Linked DNA regions of Bombyx mori. The protein of the gene in region 2 purifies or fractionates together with the protein of the main gene of each other region. This does not show direct contact. Links are inferred from orthologs where the notes say so. Each region holds a gene or a part of one and is shown on either strand. Other genes may lie near its edges. The genes, in order: paxillin, tyrosine-protein kinase CSK and tensin-1.

Region 1 (5,885 bases), on a different chromosome or scaffold from region 2:
GACCGCATAGGCATTTGTTCACGAAAACAATTAAAAATCGTTGCTCATTCAAGTGATAAACATTCGTCAGCTTACGATTTGTCAGATTTATATTGATGACTGGCTGACCCGGCAGACTTCGTAGTGCCTCAATCGATAAATAAAATACCAAAATTTTTGTATAAAATAAACTTCAAACAAACAAAAGGAATTCGTCTGACGCGGGACACATCAAAGGAAAAACAAAATTGTTACATATTTTTATTTAATTCCGAGCAATTTCATATTTATCTACCTTTTAAACCTTCTCTGGATTTCCACAAATAATTCAAGACCAAAATTTGCCAAATCGGAGCAGCCGTTCTCGAGTTTTAGCGAGACTAACGAACAGCAATTCATTTTTATATATAAAGATTTATTAATATCTTCTATTCTTAATTCAGTTTTTTAAAACGTATACATGATGTAGTATTTTATGGTTCAATATGGCCTTCGAGTAGGCTGGTGGGTGCGACCCACTCGGATGGGCGTCGCCCACTAAGGCAAACGAACAAAGAGATGTTCTTTAAAAAAAAAAAACTGCATTTGTTTTTGTAATCAATCTACTGCTTCCACAAAGAGGTTTTTGTACTGTTTGTGGTCTGAATTCCAAGTGTGGGATCGGTAGTGGAATAGCAAATTTACTTTAATTATTGTTCGTCGGGTAATCCAAATCGTTATCGCTCACACCTCTAGATTTTTATTATTTTTATGCATTACTTTTTCTCTTTTGTTTTATTGGTAAAATTGTTTCATTGTAGAGATAAAAAAAATTAATCAATTTCCAATGTTTTAATCGATAACACCAAAAGCTTGTCAGTGGCTACTAATAGAGAAATAGAAAATTTGTTGAGAAACACAGGTGAAAACGGTAGTTAACTGTTATTTCTTTACTTATTTGTAAATACATATTCAGTAGGTGCAGTCTTAATTTGTATTAAAAATTCACAATATTCCTTCGTTTCACGAGATACTATGAAGATAGTGATAAATGCAAGAAGATGTCTTGCGAAAATTTTATATTAATAACTATGATTATTTAATGAACAATTTTTAAATGCGAATAAAATATCAATAGTATTCTGATATTGTATTTCAGATCGCAAACCGCTGAATGATTCGCGTTAGAAATAGGCGGACTGGCAAAAAAATTCCCTGCTTGCTCAACCGCCCTGCCTATTTCTGCCGTGAAGCAGTAATGCGTTTCGGTTTGAAGGGTGGTGTAGCCGTTGTCACTATACTGAGACCTTAGAACTTATATCTCAAGGTGGGTGGCGCATTTACGTTGTAGATGTCTATGGGCTCCAGTAACCACTTAACACCAGGTGGGCTGTGAGCTCGTCCACCCATCTAAGCAATAAAAAAAAATCAATCGTCAATTTATTTTTTTAATAAATAATTAACCAATTTTGTTAAAGTACACAAATACATGTTTAATATATAGGTATATGTAATGTAATTTAAAGTATCTCTGTACGCGATTTTAAGTCTTGTCTGATCATTAATAGGTCACAAGACAAAGACAGCGTTGATCTGTAAAATTTACGACTATTGACATCGACTGCGTCTAGGAGTAATAAAATCATTAGACACATCATTAACCACGGAACACACTTCATTGGTTATGTTGCGTGTTTGAACTAATTTCGGGATTTATTTTTTAAATGTATCTTGCCCTAGATGATGGTAGATTGTGGTAGAATTTACCAGCGTTATAGTCATCGTTATATTATTGTCTCTCATGAGACATGAGGTCGTAGCCTCAATTGTATTTTATAATGGCTGTCGTTCTCTTCAGACAGGAGCACACAATTGTTTCATTGTTAAAGTAAACAGGATAATTATTCTTACCCCGGCAGACTTTTATATACGCCACCAACATGAGTAATTACGGAAGGGCTTATGTTTTGTGGGATTTTTATTCCTACATCATGAAAATGTGAACAAAGGCTGGTAATTTGGTTTTTTCTTCAAAAAATTGGTATGTGGCATTCGAAATTCGAGATGGTCACATCACTCAGTACATTGGGCTTCTTATTCAAGAAATTAGAAATTCTTAGTATTTCTATCGTCTTATTGTTTTGATATGATTATTAAGAAATCCACGGTAACCAAAACCGCTGTTTTTGATACTAATTAGTAAATAGAATCATGAAAATGTACAAAATACACAAAAAAAGGGTAGAACCTCTATAAAAAACCGATAACTCTTAATTTAAGTTTTGTCCTTAGTAACCCAGTTTCTGCATCGGCCGCTAATACGAATTTGTTGTTACTCCGCCATAAAATCGCGATTCGGGTTAATTCTGTTTACTCTCGGCGACCACGTGAGTTCCGCGATTGACTATTGCAGGGCGCCGCCCGCCCACGCAACGCAGACACACTTGTCTCTTATGTAAGTCGGACGCGCGAGCCCTGCGCGGCCCACGTCCATCTTCTCACCTTCTATCGTAAATAAATGGGTTAATGAAGTCAGTCCGTGATCGGTTATGAAATATTATTTCGGAAATGACCACCTGACGGGAATAGAACGTCGCGTAACTCATACGTCTGGCTCGCAGTGTGACACCGCTATCAACGGTCATCGCTCGTTCAGATAACCCTGTATTACACCAAAAATAACTAGTCTTCTTGTAGCCGCGGTCCGACCACGACTGCCCGTCAATTTTAACACGTAACGCTTTATATACTAAACAAGAGGGATGGCTACGGTGCGCACGCGCTCTGCATCCCCCAAATCGGTCTCTTTCTCTCCTGTACTCGAACGGAAGTACAGCGTGGAGAGAGGACCTTCGACTCCCCCCGAGCTGAGATCGTCGGATTGGAGGAGATACTTCGCGGATTTCAGTGCATATCTAGGTGAGTAGATCGGGTCGGTGCTGGAAACGAACGAAGTTATGAGTCAGAGAGTGCTTCAGTTGTGCGGCCTTGTTCTATATCGGATGCTTGTTAATGAAGCTGTCGGTGGTAAAGAAATGTTGCGTAATTAGTCGATGTGCAAAAATGTATTCACTTAAGATCATGAGTACATTATAATAGTTGTCTATGTAAATATTAATTTTTTTTTCCTTACCTTATCGAGCTAACGTAACGTTGACCTCTTGGTTAACACAAATTATTAAATCTGATCTCTCATAGTTTATTAACATAGACATTAAATGGCCCAGCTCGGGTATGGCAACTATCAGTGTGCTCAGTGGGAGTTTCTTAACGTTTTCGATAGCGATATATTGGAACAGCGCCCCTAGCGTCAAACATTCCAACTCCATACAAATTTGAGTTAACTTTTACGCTATCGAGAACGTTAAAAAACTCGCACTAATCACACTGATCTTATTGAAACAAAAATTTCAGTTGCATTGGTGGAAAACTCTTATTTATCAGATATATGCAGGATGGCACTACTTATCCGTGCTGGGTTATAATATATCCTACAAGTGAATGATGGTTGGCGATACACAGAACATGCGGTCGGTTCTTCATCGAATATAATCCTTTAGTCGCCTTTTTTAACAGCATTGGGGAAAGGGGTAGTGCTATCGGAATCCACACAACCGTTATAAGATACAATATAACTGCTACTTCATATCTCAACGTTGATGATGTAATTTACGTCTAAGTCCGTAGTCCTGTAACAATCTAAGACCACGTGTCTGTGAGCGAGAGAAATAAAATAAATAATAATTTTAAAAAACTAACAGAATACGCTTTTATAGAAAATCCAACTAAAAAAAAAGAAAATAAATTTTAATAAATTCGAATTAAAAATAATGTAAGTAAGAAAAAATGATTTTATTGTAAAAAAGCGTGGGGTGCTTTTCAGGATATTATCAAAATAACCCTTCTACTCATATCTGTTTTTAAAATATTTATTACTACTGATACCATGCTAAATTTATTTTCTATTTTTTATTTGGATTTTCTATAAAAGCGTGTTTTGTTAGTTTTTTAAACTATTATTATTATGACTTTTTAGTTGAATTATAATTTTTTCAATTATTATTTTTTTCAATTTTTTTTTAATATTGAATTGTCATCGATCCTTAATAATTATACCAAATTTCGAGTTAAATCGGGATGTCAAAATCATGTTCAAAGATTCCGTTATATACTAACATACATATTACGTCTGAAGCTAATAAAAGCGTATTAATAAAACGTCACGTCTTTCCGTCGAGGGAAATAAAAATAAAAACTAGATCCTTTATGCTTTTATATTCTGTGATTGAGTTCTCGTAAGTTTTCGTATCGAAGAGAACGCGCAAACCTGCCCGTATCGGTTGATCAAGGCGAAGTGTCAAACGTGGACAGGTAACCTTGCGGCGTCGGGCGTCGGCGACACTACCGCAAATTGTTATCAATACTTAGACCATAGTTTACTATTGCTCGTATCGGTTACGGCCTTATTTTGTTTACAATCCTAATATAATTATAATATTACTAGCGACCCGCCCTCGCTTCGCTTCGGAAACATTAAAACACACATGAAACGAAAAAAATAAAATATTTTTTTTTTTAAAAAAAGTAGCCTATGTTCATCAGGGACAATGTCGGCTTCTAATGGAAAAATAATTTTTCAAATCGGTCCAGTAGTTTCAGAGCCTATTCGAAACAAACAAACAAACAAACAAATCTTTCCTATTTATAATATTAGTATAGATAGTGTACATAATGCATTTTAGGTTTTTATTTGTCTGGATTTATGGAATATTTCAACTAGATTATCTTAGTTGTTTTAAAGGTCTTTTATGTATTGCTTAGACGGGTGAACCAGCTCACGGTCCATTTGATTTTAAGGTAGAGCCATAAACATTATAGCCCGAATGCAACCAATAATTTTAAGTCGCAAGCTTAAAGTAATAATATTTTGTAACAACCTCCATACCCTTCAAGTTTGAATTACTGCAGAAATAGACATGACTAGACGTGTCTGATTTTTGTTACACCATGTTATTATATTATTTTATCGTTAAATTAGCGCGTAAAAGGTCGTTAACCGTGAACCGTAAACCACTGAGTTTTTCGCCGGATCTTCTTAGTGGGTCACGATTCCGATTCGGTGGTAGATTCCGCGAAACACTGCCCTTGCTAGGGCCCGAGTTAGGAATTCGCTCAGGTCGAGCCGGTAGCTCAGCTGCGGTCCGTGCATAGTTGAAATAGCCTATTAGGCTACAAACGATTAGATAGGCAAAAAAAGTTAACAGTAGACATAGATTTGGTTATTCTCTTGCCTCTTTGGCTCTTCTCTAATGCCTATGAGTTGTCCACAGTCAGAAACCGCGCCGTGATACTCTTATTGAATCTCTTAGTAAAATATTGCTTTAATAAAACCGTAAGGCGTTTTTGTATTTTCGAGACACTAACTAACAGTGCTTCAAAGGCAGTTAGTTGAAGTGGATGAAGGGGTTAAGTACCATTTTTAAGATTTTTAAGTTTTGTCATTTAATGAAGGTGTTATGTGCTTATTAACCATATTAGACCTTAAAACTCTAGGTTTAAAGGCTATTTTTAGATATTTCATGTGATAAAAGAGTTATGTACGAAGAAAAAGTACAAGTGACAAAAGATTGCTGTCCGTTTTCTTAAAAATTACAAATTTTATTATATCCCCCTTCATTCACTCATGTCTTCAGGTATTAGCATTAGTTCGGAAAGAGTCCTTGGCGATACAGCGGAACGATCTATATACTCTGACCGCCAATAGACACAATCCATTGAGTTTCTCGATGGACCTTCTCAGTGGGTCGCGTGTCCGGTCCGGTAGTGGATTCAGCGAAGAATTCGTCTTGCTAGGGCGGGTTTAGCAAATTCATTCAGGTTGAGCCCCGGGAGCTCGCCCACCACTCACGGTAAAGCCAGAATAGGCA
Region 2 (5,885 bases):
AAGACAACAGGAAATAGGTCGGTGGGTGCGTTTTGTGGTTGTGGCCGGTGGCACGTGTGTCGGCGACCCTTAATCAACACATACATACGATAGTATTCACGTCTTAATTGTACATGTAATTAATATATTAGAGCCCAAACGTTCATAATATAAATAAGATTTCATAGTTTGAAAAGTTATTTTATGGCACTACTATAAATCCAGTTAATAGTAGTAGCCTTGAAGGTCAAGTATGTAAAATGAATATAATCTATACTAATATTATAAAGCTGAAGAGTTAATCTCAGGAACTAGGGTCCGATTTGAAAAACTCTTTCAGTGTCAGATAGCTCATTTATTGAGGAAGGCCATAGGCTATATAACATCACGCTAAGACCAATAGGACTAAGTGAAGCACCAATAAAGAATGTTTCAAAAAAATTCCCTTTTGAGAGCTTACGCTATATATATACGCCAAAGTAACTATTCCACGTGAACGAAGTCGCGGGCAAAAGCTAGTATGTCATAAAAAGTATAAGGTGATTGCTTGACGTGACCTTCATCCATGAACGGATGGAGCTACTCTTTATGTTATCTCGCTTATGTATCGATCATAGTATAACAATACATTGTGCTGACGAGTGTCACAATAGGTGGTTTGATTGCACCTAGCGTTGTCTTCCAGACCAAGTCGGGATTCGAAACATAATTTGGAACTAATGTCCGGAATTTCATCGTAAGCATTGCACAACGATTATAACGAATAAAAAATGACATTTCTACTCTATCTGAGACATTAGCACCATGGTCGTGCTCTATCATTGATATGGCAATGTTAAACGTCGGCATTCGTACACGTAGCATTCATGAGTAGCGGTAATATTTATCATCTTTGAGAAACAAGTTATCTATCAAACAATAGTACAACCGTCTTTACAAAATAATTATATGGATGGACGACAATCAAAAACAATTTCAAACGTTCACAGGGTATTAAATTATGAATGTAATTTATATTCTTTAACACAAAACAACAATGAAAAACGTTTGGTATTAATACAAAATTTAAAAACAAAAAAATAAAAATAAACTGTTATTGTAGTGTGGCAAACAAAAACGTTTTTATGGAAAGCAATCGCAGTGATTCATCCTCAGGTGTTGTCGCCACGTGATTACTTAATTACAATTGAACACGAAAACATAACATTTTATAGAATTTAATGTCTTATTGTCAAGCAATAGACCATTGTGTAGCGTCGTACAAACGTGTACTTGTAATTGCGATGTGAGAACGCAGGTTGTTATCTGACTCAGAAACGAAGTTAATATGCATATTGTATTATTGACACCTTAAGAGATTAATTAAAATTACTTGAAAAGTAAGATAGCGCCGCATTATTAAGTTTAATATTCAGTTATGTCTAAATTCTAGACCCTATTCTGGTTACGAGTGCAAACAAGAGGCATGCGAGATAACAATAAGTAGAGCGTGACACCGAATAGCTTTTCCGAGACTCGAGCCCGGATCCTGTGGCCAGTCACTAGCATGTAACTAAGCAGACAAATCAACTAATTATTTAAATTAATTCAATTCATCATCCATGCCCTTTTCAGGCCATTCAAAGACCATACTTTTCATTACATGTCTTGTTATGTAAAAAAAAAAAAAAACAATAGTCGATTGTAGTTTAATATTCTATGCTTGCAACGAAAAATGTTATTCTACGGAATTATAATTCAACTATATTAATTCTAACAAATTTGTTGAACATTTTGTCAGAGTGTACAAGTTTGGAGTTTCAATTAATTATAGTCGAATTTCGACTACTGCCGGACCACTAGTACTTATAAACCGTACAGTAGGTAGGCAGGCGAGTCCCTCACGACCGGGCATCCGTAAAAAAACGGATTCCCTAGCGTTGAAATAAAAAAAAAAGTAGGCGTGCGAGTGGCTTGTACCTGCGGGTGGGGCGGGTACTGCTGCTGCGGGGCGCCGTTGTTGTTGGTGCCGTTCGCCGTCGCCTTGGGGAGGCACCGCACCAGCTTCGTGCACAGCCCGTCCGCGTCCTGCAGGTAGTGCTGCCGACAACGTACATTATACATCAGTACCGGTCATAACGACTCGATACAACTAGCCACGGTCAAATGTATACACTAATATATAAGTCTATAGCGGTTTTTACGGATGTTATAAGTACTGAACCTTTATTTTTATTATATATTTATTTTATTGCTTTGATGTGTGGACGAGCTCACAGCCCATCTGGTGTTAAGTGGTTACTGGAGCCCATAGACATCTACAACGTAAATGCTGCCACTCACGCGAGATTTGTGTTCTAGCTTCTGTTTTAACAGTACCCTCGAAACGAAACGAATGTAGATGTTAACACCACGTGGACTGTGAACTCGTCCACACATCAAAGCAATAACAAAAAATACAAAACAATAAAGTCGGCCAACTTCAATACCTTCAACGGGATTGTGACGACGTTAAGAACAAATTTTTTCGATACAAAATGAATCTTAAGGTATCAGCTATTACGGTCGTATTTCTACTACTGGACAAGTCACTTACGATCCTCTAAAAATATTCACTAGAAATTTCGATCTCGCGGTTTTCAATCGTCAAGGATCAAGAAAAAATTGTATCTATACATATCGATGAACAAGTATGTTTGGACATATCTGATTAATTGAAAACACAACAAATAATGTTTTTATAAATAACACTCACATGAATTAAGTCCGTCATGTTATCGAAGAATTCTTCATCGTCTATGGTCAGACGTTGGTTTTGGTTGTCGGGCGCTGTCGCCCATTTTACTCTGAAACATGAAAAACAACATATAATATGTTACAACGTATTAAAAGTAAATTGGTTCTACCGGCCCGCGCGGATTATTATCACCGTCCTGCTTATCTTTGCCGTGAAGCTGTTTTGAAGTCGTTGTAGCCTAAAGTATAAGACGTCCGGTGCATTCGTATGTAGCGAAGCTCCGGTGTTCGAATCCCGCAGGCGGGTACCAATTTTTCTAATGAAATACGTACTCAACAAATGTTCACGATTGACTTTCACGGTGAAGGAATAACATCGTGTAATAAAAATCAAACCCGCAAAATTATAATTTGCGTAATCACTGGTGGTAGGACCTCTGGGACCACCACCCCGCCTATTTCCGCCGTGGAGCAGTAATGCGTATCAGTTCGAAGGGTGGGGTAGCCGTTGTAACTATAGTGAGATCTTAGAACTTATATCTCAAGGTGGGTGGCGCATTTACGTTGTAGATGTCCATGGGCTCCAGTAACCACTTAACACCAGGTGGGCTGAGAGCTCATCCATCCATCTAAGCAATAAAAAAAAATGTGTTCCGGTTGGATAGATGAAAGATCCATTAAACAATACAACAAGACTTCCAGCGTGTGACTGGAGATGGGTGGGATTGATGTTATGATCGTGTGATGCCAATGGACTCCGGTAGCGCCCTTGCACTAGGCGGCCTATAAACTACGCTACCCGTCTACACCAATAAAAAAATCAACACACTTGAAACTTCGACTTCAGTTCCAAAGTTGCCCGCGGTATTCATTTCATTGTACCAGTTCCTGTTACCAATTAACATCAGACAAGCGATGAGTTAACCCACGCTCATCCACGACAGGAAAATACAAATTTATTTCTACAATGAATCTATAAACGGCCCTATTTATTCCACTACACAAGGAGTGTAGCTAAGAGCCTAGTCGAGGTAAGCAATTTAAGATTAAGCACGTACGATGAAATGTTAATCGAAACTTGTCCACAAATATCCACACAATTCATATTTTACTCACATACTTTATTTATTATTTAATTTCAAACTGTCCGAAACACGGCTACCCCCAACGCCCCATTTTTTAAAGGAATTTTATGACCTGGCAACTAAGACCTTTAGGTCAAGTCTTATTTTAATTTTTAATTTTATTTTTATGAAAAATGATAATATGCAGTGAAATGAAGATGATTAATTTGAGACATGAATAAACTGGGATGGAATTAAATGAAATATAATCTCCGTAAAATGGGGGTCAGATTTTTTTAGTGCTTTTTGGATGATCCCGAGATGTTACGTTCAGCGGCGTTGTTTCATTTTCCCACATTTCTGCACTTTTACAGATATTAAACAGTTAATAAACCACCGTTATTACACATTTAAACCTGAAGAAACACTACATAGACAAAATAAAACAAATCACACAACTTCACTCCTCGCATTCCCGCCAAAAAGTCCTCGCCTCATTTTGAATCACAGTTCTAACCTATAGTGTTCCACCCTTCCTCGGAATCGGACGCACAGCGTGTGGTCTCCTGGGAAGTTAGTGCTCTCTCGCACCAAGAAAACCCCGTCCGGAGAGCCGGAGAGCAACGCCTCCGCTCGCTCCCTCGATATCGCGCCGTGATGCCATCTACAACGAAAACATCTTCATTTCAAACTTTATATATGTTACGGTCAAAGTAGATATTGCGGCAAATGTACACATTTTCCTCTTCGTTTGGGAAATGTGCATTTATTTACAATTTCAAAGAAGGAAAATGTACATTGAATTCACAATGACCATGTCGTTTTGGTAAATGTGAGCATGGCATACAAAATACGAAATCGCAAATGCTAGAGAGCACTTGCACCTAGCACCGCTAGGTTAGCGGTAGGCCGCGGCTTGGCTCTGCCCCTGGCATTGCTGAAGTCCATGGGCGACGGTAACCACTCATCATCAGGTGGGCCGTATGCTCGTCTGCCTACAAGGGTAATAAAAAGTTGTAATGTACTACAAACTAACCTAACCTATCACATATTATATAACATGCAAAGAAAAGTATATTTTGTTTGTCATTTACATTTTTTAATTAAAATAATTTTCGTTATTAAATCCTTTTGTATTATGTTTATTTAAATAAATATTTTTTTACTGCAACAACATTATTAATTTATTTGTATTCCAACTTTTCTTAAAGCATGAAGGTAAGAGTATACATTTACCAAAAAGTGAAGGCAATATATTATATACAAAACTATATTTACATCTGGGAATTTACATCCAAGTACAAAACTGACAACTATTGAATTAATAAATAAATTAATGAATCAATGAAAATATTAGAAATGTATGTAGCCAATTCAAAAAAAAAAACATCAAAACAATTTACTCATTTTCCGTTGGTTCATAGTTGATAACCGGTGGTATGCACAGTTTTATTTTGTGTGGTTTATAATAACACTCCGTAATGTCGCTCTCCATGCTTCGTTCGCTTCCAACGTATATAATGAAACGTTATCAACGAGATAGTTTACGTGACGTTAGATCCTTATCAATTAGTTGCAAAGGGAGTTAGTTGTAAAATCGACCTTCGCCGACAGCATTACGGTTTCTATTCACATAATTTTAAAATTTATTTAAATTCATTTAATAACAAAAACGTTATCGTGATAGCATTATCAAGTCGACAGATGATAATTGAATGTTAACGGTAGTGTTTTGTTTTCTTTTTACTCTAATATTTGTTTTTGTAAATCTAGAAGAACTCCGTGATTAATTGAATTATCTTTTTAAATCTTGCATAATATAAAGAGTATGGGAGCGTCGATCCCGAAGCAAGGCAGCAATATATATAACTACTTGAACATGAATTCAATTTGAAATGAAAATTTTATTGATTTTCAAGTTAAGATTTAAGTTTTTTTTGTTTTAGCATGTTCCAGAAACAATTGAAAAGGTAGCTCTGGTGGACATTCCATTGCTTGTCGTCCCGGGCAATAGTTTCGCATCAACGGTTTCTAATTGCAGTTCATTGCGGGCAATCCAATAAACAATGTTAATTACATTTAGTGTTTTCTTTCTTTAAGGTTCGCTGGTAAAACATTATAACATAG
Region 3 (6,360 bases), on a different chromosome or scaffold from region 2:
GATATAAAAGATACTACTACTTTAAGCCCATGAGCTCACCTACCCGTCCGACCATAGTTGAAATAGGCTACCAGCGAATAGGTAGGAAGAAAACTACTACTGACCTTTTTGGTAGTAAGAGTATCGGAAAGTTTACTTGTAGTGAATTTCTTTACACTCATTCAAATGCCTTACATTTTATCTGTACACGAGTTCAAACATAGAACTAAATGGATGTATGTTTGAACACTATGGCATTATGTAAAGTTTAACATTTCAGAAAAACACGTCATGTATTTATTTTTTTAATTCATTTAATTTACCTGAAGTGCTAGATGAATAGGTCCACTCACTCTGCAGGGCGGGGGTGGTTCATATCCCCAGAGGCAGTTCCAAGGCATTTTAAATATACCGTAATATGATTATCTGTAATTAGCATAATAACACGTCACATCCCCGATATTTAATGTTAAATGCACAATGTAGAGAGTCGTGTTTACATCGGCGTTGTGAATGTGCCGGTCACGCGAGCGTCTCTATGCACAGGCGCTTCGCTACTGAAACTGAGCAGAGCCGCGCACCCAGCAGCTGATCTGGGCCCGGCGCCCATCACTAATCTCAGGTCACACGATACTTCAGCACCACCCGGTTACATGTAAGTGTGAATGCATATTTACGATCTCGGTACTGATAGAAGAGACGCTTAGACCATTTATGATAAGAAATTAAATATTAAATCCAATATGTATTATTAAATATAAGCAAAAAAGTAGGCATGTTTATGAAACCGAAACAAATTTATTATGAACGACTACATTTTACGTTACAGTTGATACATATACCTACTAACTCTAAGTATTGTTTTGACGTTTTTTTGTCTAGTCTAGGGTAGTCCAGTGGATGTCCACAGTCTAAAGAAAAATTACGACATAAAAAATAACGACGTGTTGTGCCATATTAAATATTATACAGTCATCAAGGACAAAACTTAAAATTGTAGTTTTTTTTTAAACTGCAAACTACATTTTATGAATTTCATTTTCTTTTAACTCCGACACAATTTTAAATAGGTTCTGCTGCACAAATATGAGGGCAATGGTTTGGACAGCTGGTCTAGTCGATTGGTTGATAGGCCTAACTAACTGTATATAATTTTGGCCTCAATTCCCTTTCATTATTTAATATTAATTAATTAATTCGTTTCAAGTGATCAATTTTTAGGAAAAATCATAGTTCGGGGCTACATAGACATACGTAATTTTTATAAGAACAGAAAACGATGACTTCTGTATGTAATTTTAAAAAGTAGATTTTTTTATTAATAACACTAATATTCATCTGAAAGCTTTTCGGGGGTCACCGCGCTATTTAAAAAATGTCGAGCATCCATTTGAAATAAATGTAACAATCTCACTAAAGCCGTGTTATCGGTGCCATTAAACAAGGACTACGCATTGAACTATTATTGAGAAAGCATCCGAGCTTAAGTGATACATTCATATCATATCACGCGGACGTTATGACCACGAAAATGACATTAACACAGAGAACACTTTGAATCCATTAAAATATACATTGGGAATTATGCGCCTGCCAACCGACCTTTACAAACACTTTGATTGTTTATACATATCTCGAGGGCACACTTACAGTTTAATGTACGATTTATATTAACTTATAATGACGTCGTATATAAGTATATTAAAATGAAAGTGGATTAAGACTAGTTGACATTGACAAACACAAAATACGACACTCTTAAAACGGATTTAAGCATTTAATTATTACTTGTAAAAAACTCGAACACTTTTTAATGTTTAAATGTGTAACACAATTAACAAATTAAATAGGGATGACATACCTATAAAGATATTTTAAAATAATGTACCATTTTTTTATTGCATTTGCTATTGAATATTGTAATGAAACTTAAAATAATTTTTTTCACTACGAATTGATGGTAAACTAACTCCTCATCTTTGCTGATGATCTTTGATACTTCATGATTTTAAAATCACAAGCTTTGTGTATTCATTGCCATATTACAAAAACAAAACATACCCGAGTCAACAAGTGAAGTGGAGAACTGACCACTAGCTGCTCTAGACGATCGCGCGACCACGGACATTTCCAAGGCATTTCAATAATTATTATTAAATTTACTTTAAATTGAAATTTATGAGTGTTAAAGGACTACATTATTTAAAAAAAAAACGATATAGTACTTTAAGCTTTTTTTCATTAAAATCTGTTAACATTTGTTCGCGCGCACGTAGTTCTCAAACAAAGTATAATAATATGTATGTTCGCAATCGGATTACGATACGCAACATCTCACGCATGCGCGCGAACACGGGACCGTTCGACACGGTACTGGCTACTGGCACCCTGTCCTCCAGGAATCGAATCCCAAGTATTCCCGGCTTTTGGGCGCACACCTCCCGCTGTGAACGTGATTCGCAGAATGAAACAGCGAAAAAGTATCATAAAAATATTTGAAATTATACTTTATTTTTAAAAAACATGTACTTTATTAATTTAGTTTCTATGTCATGTTTAATTTAAATGAAGAAAAAAAGGTAATGAAATTTTTGATCTGAACACACTAAGATTTAAGGAGAGTCCCCATCAGCAGGTAGCGGCTTAACTATGCTCCTGGTATAACTATGTCCACGGTGGCTACTTGCTATCAAGTGTACCGTAAAGATTCAGTAAATTTGTGTGAGCTTCGAATCATTTTTGCTATTGAGGTTAGGCAGACTTAGATCCTCTGCTGTGAATCAATTATGTGTGTTTTTACTGTAAATGTGCAGTTGAACTCACGGCCTACTTAGTGTTAAGTTGTAATCAGACCCCACAAATATCTCAACGTGAATGTCGGCAACTTTTTTTAGACAAGACTTTTTCCGATAAGTCTTACCACAAATTCACGGATCACCTCTACATCCACGATACAGGAATAACACCGTTGTAATAAATATCAAACCCAAAAAAATATATTCTGAATTATTTCTGGAGGTCAGCCGTCGTGTGAGCTCTCGCGAATAAGTGTGACCAACACCCTGCCTATTAATACCGCGAAGCAGCAGTGCGTTCCCGTTTGATCATGAGACAGCCGCGATACTATGCATTTTAGACTTACACCTCATATCACCTCATGGGTTTCGGCATTCACGTAGTGATGGGCCTGATATCGTTCACCTGTCTTCACGATAAATAAAATAAAAACATACGTTCGTCAGCCTATCTACCCCCCCCCTAAAAGTTGGATAATGTTTACATGTTCTCTAATAAATTCTAAAACAGAACAAAAATGTTTCTTTGCCAAACATTTATTGATGTTATTCCAGTTGACCTCTTCGATTAAATGCCGACAAACTGCTAATTGGGCTATATTAGCAAACGTGATGTAGGCATCTCTCTAAATCAGGAAATGAGGTCAAAATGAGGTAATCATTATTGTTTAATAGATCAACGCTATATTACAAAATGTGTAAATATCGCAAGGCTATCATTAGGATTTTCACGTTTCACCTGCATATGGGGATCTCAAATGGAGTAAGCAACTTAGTTCTTTTTAATATTCTATTACGCGAAATGTGGTGTTGGCGTTTCGCCCTCTCCAATGGAATGATGTGATACGAATGTCAGCGAAGACCGCGATGGGGGGTTGTTTTACTACCTAGTTAGTGCTCTATTTCGTTAGGTACTTATGAATTGGGCTGCATTTAGTTTTGTGTGTCAAAAACCATACACGACACACTGGACGAATAGGGTTTTAGTTTTCTTCCTATAAAATATTTTTTGTCATAATTTATCTTTTGATTCAAATAGGTTGAAAATAAATCAATAATAAAAATATAAACTTTAAATGAAATTAAGTACTCACCCAGTATCTTGGAACGAGAACTTAGGCGGAAAAATAAAACGAACATATTGTTATAAAATATCCATATCAGAATGCTTGTTTTGTACGACCTCTTATTGTTAGTATAATTTAGAAAATTGTACATTTTAATAATTATTATTTAGTACAAAAAATAATTATGATGGGTATCTTCACTACCGGAAAGAAATCAGGCATAAAATCCGTTTTTTTTGACCGATATCTAAGAATTGATTGAGAATTTCGTACGTGAATTAAGAGTTAACCCATTAAATTAACTTACCGGCAATGTTTCTAACACGAGCTCTTTAGTTTTCCAGCACAGCCATGATGGAAGCTTCATAATCACTATTACGCTAATTACAACTGAAACGGTTACAAGGACAATTATCAAATTGTATTCTTCTAATTGGTACATAATAAGTTATTCGAATCATAGAAGAATGAATTTATAAGGCCATAAGGTATGTAACCGTATGAGTCTCTATGCTATCCCATCATGTACTGCACGCCTGTTCGGGCCACGCCGCTAGCAGCATATTAGTGAGAAGTTGTTAACATAAATTAGGTCTAATTAACTACTTCCAACTACAAAATTTTCGATCGCCTAGATTAAAGTACTTCGGAACGTTCAAAAAAACAACAACATAGGTATTAGGTATACGAGTATAATTGCTTTAGATACTTAGCATAGCGTGCCTTATTTATAGTTGCTTCGTTAAGTACCTTAATTTGGAATTACGCTTCTTCTATCTTTTCCCTAACTGGAGATCGATAAGACCTGAAAGGCTAGTTTTAGAGTAGGTAATGTGCCATAGGGGTCGGCGAAGACAAAAGTATTAGGCATATAATTATTGCTGTAGATACTTTGCGTAGCGTACTTAATTTATAGTTGCTTCGTTAAGTAGGTACCTTAATTTGAAATTAAGCTTCTGCTATCTTTTCTCTGAATGGAGATCGATAAGACCTAAAAGGCTAGTTTCAGAGTAATGTGCCATTAGGGTCGGCGATGACAAAGTACATCCTGGGAAAATGGGTTGCGCTCGCACTCGCGCTAATTCACTTAACGTCGAGTCGAAGATAAAAGTGGCGCTATAGATATGGATAACCCATGTTGGCATACCGGTTGTATTGACCTGCTTATCTAACTCATACGTTGCTTTCGTTTATTTAGTTGAAAATTCGTGAAAGTAGCGCTCAATAGTCCTGGCCAGGCTTGAATCATAACACTGGTAAGTGAGCACTAAATGGGGATGCGATTGCCGTGGCCTTCTCCAAAATGTTACAAAGTAAAAAGATACGAAGCGCTTTTAGGCAGTTCATTCAGAAGAGGCTCCATAGTTCTCTAAAATTAATACCAAGTTCCATTTCCAGCTGTGAAACGATGCATCCATAACGGTTCTTTCTTACCTGGAGCCTGGTAGGACGTAATTCAATAGAAGATGGCCGGCAAAGGATTATCTTTATTAATTGAATTTTTATATTTAATCATGTATATTTCAAAACCCGAATTTTCGGTTAATAATAATTATTAAAGACACTTACCAAACCATTCCGGTAACCGAGATAAGTTCTAATATTCAGTCTAACGAAACGACATACATTTTTTTTAGTTTTAGCTTCATAAGACAATATTTAAAAATAGTGCTCAAATAAATAAAAAAATATAATTTGGAACGGTATTCGATTACAATTAGTCAATAAAATACTGTTTATTTAGATATTAATATATTTTCGAATCTAAAATGTACAAAAAATACAACTTAAATTTAATGTACTCGTAACGACTGCTTTTTTTATGAATAAAAACATTACGATTCGAATATATTGGAAATTTTGGTACCAAACGGCACACACTTCATGGCTTGAATAATTGACAATAAATACCAAGTACATGAACCGGAGTAAGCTACTAGGAACATAAGGAGAATAAGCCATCGAAAAAACTCCTTAAAACAAAAGTTTGCCAACATTTCGTCAAATCATTTTTTAATCCAAATTAGAAAGTCGATTTTTCAAATTTCGTATATTTCGAAAAAAAAAAAATATAACCTATGGTACAGCTGTACAGATTTTTGTATAATCTAAAATAAACATAACGATCTAATTTAAAATTATTGTTTAATCAACCATCACTTTTATAACAACTTTGGTTGTGTATGCTAATCGTAAAAATATAGGTATTTTAGATATTTACAATTTATATAAACACATACGTACATAGGTAAAATGCACAGCAACACAAAAATGGCCTTAACTATTAGAAGAACTAAATAACACAGACTTAACGTCGCTCACTTAAATGATTTGTTTGGAGAAGAGGACTAGTCTTTGTTTTCATCACAGTTAGCAAACAAATTGTCTCGATATCTCTACGTACGTGAAAAAGAACGCTTCCCAAAAAATCTTTTAAGTAAATGACAGACGTTTAAATCACTTTGCAGTGTTTTAAGGAAAACATAAATAGCATATAGGTATAATAATAATATAACAAA

The links.
Region 1: the proteins of tyrosine-protein kinase CSK (region 2) and paxillin purify together in Homo sapiens (affinity purification with mass spectrometry; 4 studies listed by BioGRID and IntAct, with this or other methods). This does not show direct contact. The link is inferred for Bombyx mori from reciprocal best matches to the Homo sapiens genes CSK and PXN.
Region 3: the proteins of tyrosine-protein kinase CSK (region 2) and tensin-1 purify together in Homo sapiens (affinity purification with mass spectrometry; 6 studies listed by BioGRID and IntAct, with this or other methods). This does not show direct contact. The link is inferred for Bombyx mori from reciprocal best matches to the Homo sapiens genes CSK and TNS2.

The regions. Positions count from the first base shown.
Region 1 is NC_085116.1:14,644,797-14,650,681, forward strand, and holds part of paxillin, read left to right. Parts: intron 1-572; exon of another isoform or gene 573-2,655; 5' UTR 2,656-2,720; coding exon 2,721-2,877; intron 2,878-5,885. UniProt on the Homo sapiens protein: Cytoskeletal protein involved in actin-membrane attachment at sites of cell adhesion to the extracellular matrix (focal adhesion). Recruits other proteins such as TRIM15 to focal adhesion.
Region 2 is NC_085127.1:9,182,272-9,188,156, reverse strand, and holds part of tyrosine-protein kinase CSK, read right to left. Parts: intron 5,837-5,885; exon of another isoform or gene 5,705-5,836; intron 5,483-5,704; exon of another isoform or gene 5,254-5,482; coding exon of another isoform or gene 5,162-5,253; intron 4,423-5,161; coding exon 4,276-4,422; intron 2,805-4,275; coding exon 2,714-2,804; intron 2,059-2,713; coding exon 1,939-2,058; intron 1-1,938. UniProt on the Homo sapiens protein: Non-receptor tyrosine-protein kinase that plays an important role in the regulation of cell growth, differentiation, migration and immune response.
Region 3 is NC_085110.1:9,739,011-9,745,370, reverse strand, and holds the start of tensin-1, read right to left. Parts: upstream 4,367-6,360; 5' UTR 4,284-4,366; coding exon 4,149-4,283; intron 2,358-4,148; exon of another isoform or gene 2,119-2,357; coding exon of another isoform or gene 2,041-2,118; intron 556-2,040; exon of another isoform or gene 381-555; coding exon of another isoform or gene 303-380; intron 1-302. UniProt on the Homo sapiens protein: Tyrosine-protein phosphatase which regulates cell motility, proliferation and muscle-response to insulin. Phosphatase activity is mediated by binding to phosphatidylinositol-3,4,5-triphosphate (PtdIns(3,4,5)P3) via the SH2 domain.